Sus scrofa: one gene and its partner. The protein of the gene in region 1 purifies or fractionates together with the protein of each later gene. This does not show direct contact. Links are inferred from orthologs where the notes say so. Each region holds a gene or a part of one and is shown in the gene's direction. Other genes may lie near its edges. The genes, in order: PRMT8 and EWSR1.

Evidence for each region.
Region 2: the proteins of PRMT8 (region 1) and EWSR1 purify together in Homo sapiens (affinity purification with mass spectrometry; 3 studies listed by BioGRID and IntAct, counting the BioPlex papers as one, with this or other methods). This does not show direct contact. The link is inferred for Sus scrofa from reciprocal best matches to the Homo sapiens genes PRMT8 and EWSR1.

The regions. Positions count from the first base shown.
Region 1 is NC_010447.5:66,688,080-66,691,892, reverse strand, and holds part of PRMT8 (protein arginine N-methyltransferase 8), read left to right. Parts: intron 1-2,139; coding exon 2,140-2,282; intron 2,283-2,885; coding exon 2,886-2,973; intron 2,974-3,813. UniProt on the Homo sapiens protein: S-adenosyl-L-methionine-dependent and membrane-associated arginine methyltransferase that can both catalyze the formation of omega-N monomethylarginine (MMA) and asymmetrical dimethylarginine (aDMA) in proteins such as NIFK, myelin basic protein, histone H4, H2A and H2A/H2B dimer.
Region 2 is NC_010456.5:46,422,037-46,425,849, forward strand, and holds part of EWSR1 (RNA-binding protein EWS), read left to right. Parts: intron 1-1,386; coding exon 1,387-1,554; intron 1,555-3,813. UniProt on the Homo sapiens protein: Binds to ssRNA containing the consensus sequence 5'-AGGUAA-3'. Might normally function as a transcriptional repressor. EWS-fusion-proteins (EFPS) may play a role in the tumorigenic process.

The DNA.
Region 1 (3,813 bases):
GGATAGAGCAGCTAGTGGATGGGGGGGAGGCCAGTGCAGAGGACAGGGGCAGCGTTCACTCGCTCTGCAGGGCACCCAAGGAGTGTTATTCTGTCCGTCCCTCTCTGTCGGACCAGACTATAAGTTCTTGTCTGTCTTCGCTTCCCCCAGGGCTCCTGGAGTCCTGTCTCTGGAATCACAGGGGAGCCTTGTCCTAGGCACGCAGGTGGAGGTCCTGGGGCACTAGAGGCAGGAGAAGACATCATCCTGGGCCTCAGGAAGGTCACCATTAATGCAGGAGGAGGGACTGACCCAGAGCCCCACAGCCACGTGCAGACATCAGGGAAGAGTCTTCAGAAAATGTGCACAGAGAAAGAAAAGGGAGGCTGTTAAAACACTTTCAAGTGTTTATAAAAATAAGACAAACAAGTCTTGCAGGCAAGTGATTAGGCAGGTGGGTCCAGCATCTATTTGCCAGTTCTTTTTCAGGATAAAAAATAAATGAGGTACGCTATTTGCATTTGCCAAAATCCCATACTCTGTCCCCTTGTGAAGATTCCTGGTGCATCCTGGGTCCTTGCTTGAGTTCCTGCTCTTAGGTCTTGGGTCTTGACTCCCCCCTCCCAAGCCTTTTGGTGAAGATTAGCCTTCCGAATCTCCCTTCCCAGGGGTCGGGCTTCACATGTGTGAAGCAGGAGAGTCACGCAAGTTGGGGAGTGATCAGGGCCAAGCGTCTGACTCCTTACAGAGAGGCCTTATCTGATTAAGCTTTGATGAAACGCCACACCCCGGAGAGCAAATCATCGTTAGACACTGACAGGCACGCTGTCCCCAGCACCACCTGCTGTGAAGGTGGGGAGTAAAGCCTGATGCCCTTTGCCACCTAGAGCTCTCCCATCCACGTTGATTTTCATGAAACTCACATTCAAGGACAGAGGTGGCGTTTTGTTTTGTTGTTCACTCCCGAGTACAGACCATTGTTTAGTTGGCCCAGAAAAGCACAGGCATTGTGTGGTTTTCTTCAGAGGATGGTGCAGAGTGAGTTTCAGAGCAGGGACACGTGTAAGCTTTCACAGGAAACATTCTGATAGAACCAGCCACCAATCCATCACCCTGTCAGTTGCATAGCAGCACCTAAGATAGCTTTGCTCTGATCTTTATAGACGTGGATGCAAAACAAGGCTCCGAAATTAAGTGTACATCCTTGTCAAATGATCAAAAGCTCAATGAAGTTTCTCCTGCCACAGAGGGATGGGACAGTCCTGGAAGGGACACAGAGGCAGAGGCCGCTTAGAACAGGGGCTCTGTCCTGATCCTACCCGCTTTACCTCTTTGTTGGTCACCAAGGAGACAGTGTCAGATAACGCATGCCTTCTGCAGAGCCCCAACCGTGAGCCCCCGTGTCACCTGTGCTATTTCATTTAATCAGTACAGCCTCCCACTGAGTAGATGTCACTTTCCTTGGGTGTTCTCTGGGGAACTGGAGTTTGGTTGGGTCAAGCGACTTGCGGATAGTCACACAGCCAACAATGAGACGATCCAGCTCACTTAAGCCCACGTTTCTTGAGCGCACAGCCCATGCTTTTCTGCCAAAACACGGAGTTGCCTTCCCCACCAGCCCTAGGTGGACACCTCCTGGGGCCAAGCAGGGGCTGTGAACAGGGCAGCAGAGGCGGCCTCTCTTCCTTCTGTGGGTCTGAATCATCACTGGTAGCCTGACGTGGGGGTGAGGACCCAGAAACGAGTGTGAGAATCGTCGCTTATCATACCTGGGCTCTGTTTCCACAGCCACCGTTTCTCCTCTCCAAGCTTCAGTTTCCATACAGGTTCTAGGTGAGAATAAACCCAGTGTGTTTCCTTCAAGGACTTGTTGGGATGATTACATGACATGGTGCCTGTCATGGGCTTAGCACAGTCCCAGGCACATAGGAGCTGCTCAATGCATTCTGCAGAGGAAGCACTCAAGGAGTTTTCACTTCTCTTAGTCTAAAGGAGCTTGGTGAGGGGACAGGTGTGCTGCCACCTAGAAGGAGGATCAGAACAGCACAGCGCTGGCACCTGTAGATCAGCATGTTCTGATGTGGTGGTGGTGGTGGTGGGGGCTCATGGTTCCCGGCCAGGGTCCCTGCACAGTGTGGCTGTGGGGTTCTTATTTTCCAGTCATCACAATCTTTAAGGGGAAGGTGGAAGAGGTGGAGCTGCCCGTGGAGAAGGTGGACATTATTATCAGCGAGTGGATGGGCTACTGTCTGTTCTACGAGTCAATGCTCAACACAGTGATCTTCGCCAGGGACAAATGGCTGGTGAGCATGCTGCATGCTGTCCCCTCGTTGGTCTGCTGGCTGCCTTGCTGCTCACCCCCTGGCCTGCAGCCTAGAACGACTATGAGGACTTCAGAGAGGACCTAGGCTAGAAGGTCTTAGCTCCCAGGCCCCCTTCTTTAAACCAGGTCAGCATCCCGGGACAGAATGATCGTCCCCCGGTCCACATGTCCCCCTTGGCCTCTTTTGCCATAATGCTCTGGTGTCCAAAGTCTGCTCTGGTCAACATGGACTAAGGACTTGCCTGGCTGCCAAAGAGGGCAGCGTGCTCTTGACCTTGGCTTCCCCAAGCCCCAAAGTCAGAACGTCTTCCACCGCCCCTCACTGGACAGACCTCTGCCCTCTTCATTTGTTCTGCTGCCCCCCATCCCCCACCCCTAGGTCTCTTGAAGGTTCCCTGGTACCAAAATAAAAACCAAGCAGCCCAGCCCAGCCCAACCCCAGCCCTGGCCAAGGCGGCAGTCTGTGGAATGAGAAATGCTGGCAAGGGGGTGCCTGTCTGGTGACTCGATGTGCCGTTCAAAATGTGATGTCTTTGTCAGGTGAATAGATTACGAGACCCATTTCCCCACAATTCATCAACAGAAACCTGGAGGGCTTATGTTTCCAGACCGGGCAGCTTTGTACGTGGTAGCAATCGAAGACAGACAGTACAAGGACTTCAAAATCCACTGTAAGTCACCTTTTGATTGTTGGGCTTTCTCTGTGTGTGTGTGTGTGTGTGTGTGTGTGTGTGTGTGTGTGTATTTGTGGTGGGAAGGACCTATGGGCCCGGGGTTGGCAACGGGTCTTGTGGACACAGCTGCTGGACTGGGCCTCTGTGACCCTTTCTGGCTTCTTCTCTCTAGATGTTTCCCCTGGTCCCAAGGGGTGGGGGGGTGCTTCAGAGAAGAAATGAGCAGTGCCTTTGGTGGAAGATGAAGCAGGGAGAGAATGAAGGTCGTGTGAGTGGCAAATGAAGGGGGCTGAGGTTTCGCAGAGCCGGCCCAGTGGCTGGACGCTGCTGGCGGTTAGTCATCCCCAAAGTCCATCTGGGAGCAGGGATCACTGTTCTCCTGCTAAGCTATTCCTGTTGAGCCTGGCTTTCATCCCCCTCAAACTTTTCAACATCATATCGATTCTCCTTCCAATCAAGTAAAATATGGGGCAAGATGTGCGTGTTGGGAGCTGGCAGAGGACACACCCACATCTGTATTCATAATGGCTTATCAGCTGAAAACTTGCTCCCTTGAAAAAAAAAAAAAGACCCCAAACTCTTCAGTGTTTTATCTGGTCCCCAAACGGCTGTTTTGTCCTATTGCATTTCAAGGGCACCAGTTCTCAGTGACACAAGCTGGTCCTCCAGGATAGTAAACCAATTATGTTGTCACAAGGTTTAGAAAGAGTCATGTCTCCTCAACTGGAACTAAAAGGACAGGAGTTCCTGTCGTGGCTCAGAGGTAACGAACCTGACTAGTATCCATGAGGTTATAGGTTCCATCCCTGGCCCCACTCAGTGGGTTAAGGATCCGGT
Region 2 (3,813 bases), on another chromosome or scaffold:
AAGTTCATAACTCCATGACTGATGAGCAGGTAAACAGTATTAATTATTCCTTAACAGAAGATTTTACATATTTAAGCAGTGCACTTAGATGTCTTCTCCGTATAGTCTTCAAAGAAACATTGAATCTGGTTACAAGAGATCAACTTGTAACCTAGATTTTGTCTACTGTAGAGGTAAGAAATTAGCTCTGGCAGACACTCATGAGATTACTTCTGAAATGCACTGTGGGTAATCAGAGTGAATTTAGTAGTTTACATCTGCTAGACATCCTATGCAATGGTGAGTGTTACACTGATTCCTGTACGGCCCCAATTCGGTGGACCTAGCATGTTCTCCTATGGTTGAAGTCCCATTTGATACTCCATTGCAACAGTAAATCCAAGCCATAGCTGGGGTGGGGGTGGGTAATATATTAATTGGTCTGAATAAATCATCCCTTTTGGTTCCTTTTGCTTAATTTTTCAATCCTTAACACTTTAAAACAATTGTCTGTCTCATGATCAGTGACAGCTACTCTTCCACTGGAAAGAGGGGGCTTGTGACCATTTCAGCTCTTTGGAAAAACCAGTACTTCCACATCCTCTCTGGTCTACTTGCTGACTCTTGGACTTTGTTTAAAATAGCTCAAGTTCACTTGCTACAACCCTGTTACAAACTGTTAGGGCTAGGGGGTAACAGAAACCTTGGTTTTCTCCTTGGGATTAAAGTTGATTTTTGTCACTTAACTAGGATGTCTTTCAGTTCATCTGAGCATGAGAGGAGAGTGTGTGTTAGTCTGTCTGCCTCTCTGTGTGTGTGTCCCTGCTATTTCCATTATGGAGACCTCAAGGCAAATTTAGATTAATGTATAGAAGTTCAAGTTAGGAAATGGTTTTTTTTTTTTTTTTTTTTTTTTTTGGTCTGTTCTTCATAAATGAGAAACTGACCCACAGATCATCCAAGCTTGTACATGCCATGGACTTAAACAAATGTTATTCTAGCCTAAAGTTTGCATTAAGTTTTTTGTTTTGTTCGTCGTAAGTTTGTTTGTCCCTGACAGTCTTTTTTTGAGAAAAGGCATTTTCTTCCTGAACAAACCTCCTCCTCTCCCAGATCTCTTAAATTGACAGCACATAATACTGTAACTACTTTCTATAGTTATTGATAATGGAATAAATGGAGCGTGTTAATGTCTTTTCTGTGGATGTGATTAATTCTCCCCCATCTTTAGCGTTCTCTTCCAGCGGAAACAGTTGGACCAACAGTGGGTTTGATGTATTTATTTTAAATTGTATTTATTTTCCAGACTCAATTCTAACATTCCTTATTGCTCATAGATTGTAGTGTTCTTATCCAAGAGTTTTGTGGTTGAGAAAAAAGTCTTCACTTTTTTATTTCCCCTTTTAGACCACAGGATGGTAACAAACCCGCTGAGACTAGTCAACCTCAATCTAGCACAGGGGGTTACAACCAGCCCAGCCTAGGATATGGACAGAGTAACTACAGTTATCCCCAAGTTCCTGGGAGCTACCCCATGCAGCCAGTCACAGCACCACCATCTTACCCTCCTACCAGGTCAGTCTTCTCACTCTTCTTCTTGTGGCCAATGAGCTAGTAGAATAAAAAAACAGATTTTTTTCAAGCTGTTGACCTGCCTGCTTCTGCTTCCTCAGGTGAGATATATTATCTGACTCTCCCAGTGATAAACCAGACCATGTATTGTGGATTAAAATCTTAGTCCTAGGTTCTGACAGCCAAAAACTTTGCTCTCTGAATACAAAAACATTTTTACCACTTTAGGTTCGTTCTTTTAATTTTGTTCTTTTAGTTTATTCAGATGAGAGACAAGTACTTGAAAGCAGGTAAACAGAACCATGGAAGCCACCTTCTCGAATACAGTTGGGTAAAGTGCAGGACATTATTTTAGAAAAAGAAACTTCACCTTAATAATTTTATATTGAATTTAACTCAGAGGTTCATTCATGCACCAGTCTTTTAATGGTTAGGCCAAGGCTTTTCTTTTTTTTTTTTTTTTTTTTTTTCTTCTTTTGGCTACACCCATGGCATGCAGAAGTTCCTGGGCCAGGGATTGAACTGACACCACAGTGGTGGCAATGCCAGGTCCTTAATTCACTAAGCTGCCAGGGAACTCCCTAGGCCTTTTCTTTTGACTAAGGGTTTCCTTGTTCTGCATTTTTGTCTTTATTAACCACACCAGCAGCTACAACAAAAACCAATTTTGGTTTGTTTGGGTTTTTTGGGGGGGTTGTGGTGGAGGATTTTTGGTTTTTTGCCATTTAGGGCCGTACTCCCGGCGTATGGAGGTTCCCAGGCTAGGAGTCAAGTCAGAGCTGTAGCTGCTGGCCTACACCACAGCCACAACAACACAGGATCTGAGCCACATCTGCAACCTACACCACAGCTCACAGCAACACCAGATCCTTAACCCACTGAGCAAGGCCAAGGATCAAACCTGCGTCCTTATGGATGCTAGTCAGATTTGTTAACCACTGAGCCATGACGGGAACTCCCAGTTTTGGTTTCTGTATAAAGTTGTTTTACATTTAATTTGATGCAGATTTTCAAGTAAATTGTCTGAATTGTGTCAACTTAGCTTTGGTAAAATTAACAGTTCCCTTTTTTGTACTCATTTCATTGGTTTATGCATTAAAGTGCAGCAGACATGAACAGGTTTAGGAGCAAATACAGCTGACTGGGTAAGTGTGTCTGTATGCTTGGAGCAGCAATGGGCAGGGCTTGAGCAGTTCTCCCCAGGACCCACCCACACCTGTAAGCCTGAGAGCATTTCATCTGGCCACTTGGTGCACTTGGTGTGAAGAGAGGCTTTTGAATACTTACAGCTGTGGTGAGGGAGGTAGTGATCGAGTCTTGGTTTAAATGTTCTTAGAATTGTAAAATATGTTGTCTTTTTGTCTGGGTCGGGGGTTTTTTGTTTTTGCTTTTTAGGACCACACCTGCTGTGTATGGAAGTTCCCAGGCTAGTGGTCGAATAGGAGCTCCAGCTGCCGGCTTACGCCATAGCCACAGCAACTCGGGATATGAGCCACGTCTGCAGCCTACACCACAGCTCACGGCAACACCAGATCCTTAACCCACTGAGCAAGGCCAGGGATCAAGATACCCAAGAGCTCATGGATATTAATCAGGTTTGTTTTCACTGTGCCACAACAGGAGCTCTCCTTTCTTGTTTTGTTTTTTTGTTGTTGTTGTTTTTTTTTTTTTTTTTTTTGTCTTTTTGTCTTTTTTTTGTTGTTGTTGTTGCTGTTTCTTGGGCCGCTCCTGCGGCATATGGAGGTTCCCAGGCTAGAGGTCGAATCGGAGCTGTAGCCACCGGCCTACGCCAGAGCCACAGCAATGCAGGATCCGAGCCGCGTCTGCAACCTACACCACAGCTCACGGCAACGCCGGATCGTTAACCCACTGAGCAAGGCAGGGACCGAACCCGCAAGCTCATGGTTCCTAGTCAGATTCATTAACCACTGCGCCACGACGGGAACTCCTCCTTTCTTGTTTTTTATTACCATGATTCATCTAGAGTTTAATACTAGTTCTCTTAAGCTTTATTTCTGTGTAAGAATTTACTTTTGGTTAGTGTCTCTGCCATGTAGTTGGTATATGTAATGATGAATCTCAGTCTAACATTCATCTTTCATACAGTTGCCATGATTCTAATGTCCTCTGGCCCATCTTTTCTTGGTTTTTTTTTTTTTTTTTTTTTTTTTTCTTTTTGCCTTTTCTAGGGCTGCACTCGTGGCATATGGAGGTTCCCAGGCTAGGGGTCTAATTGGAGCTGTAGACGCCGCCTACGCACCA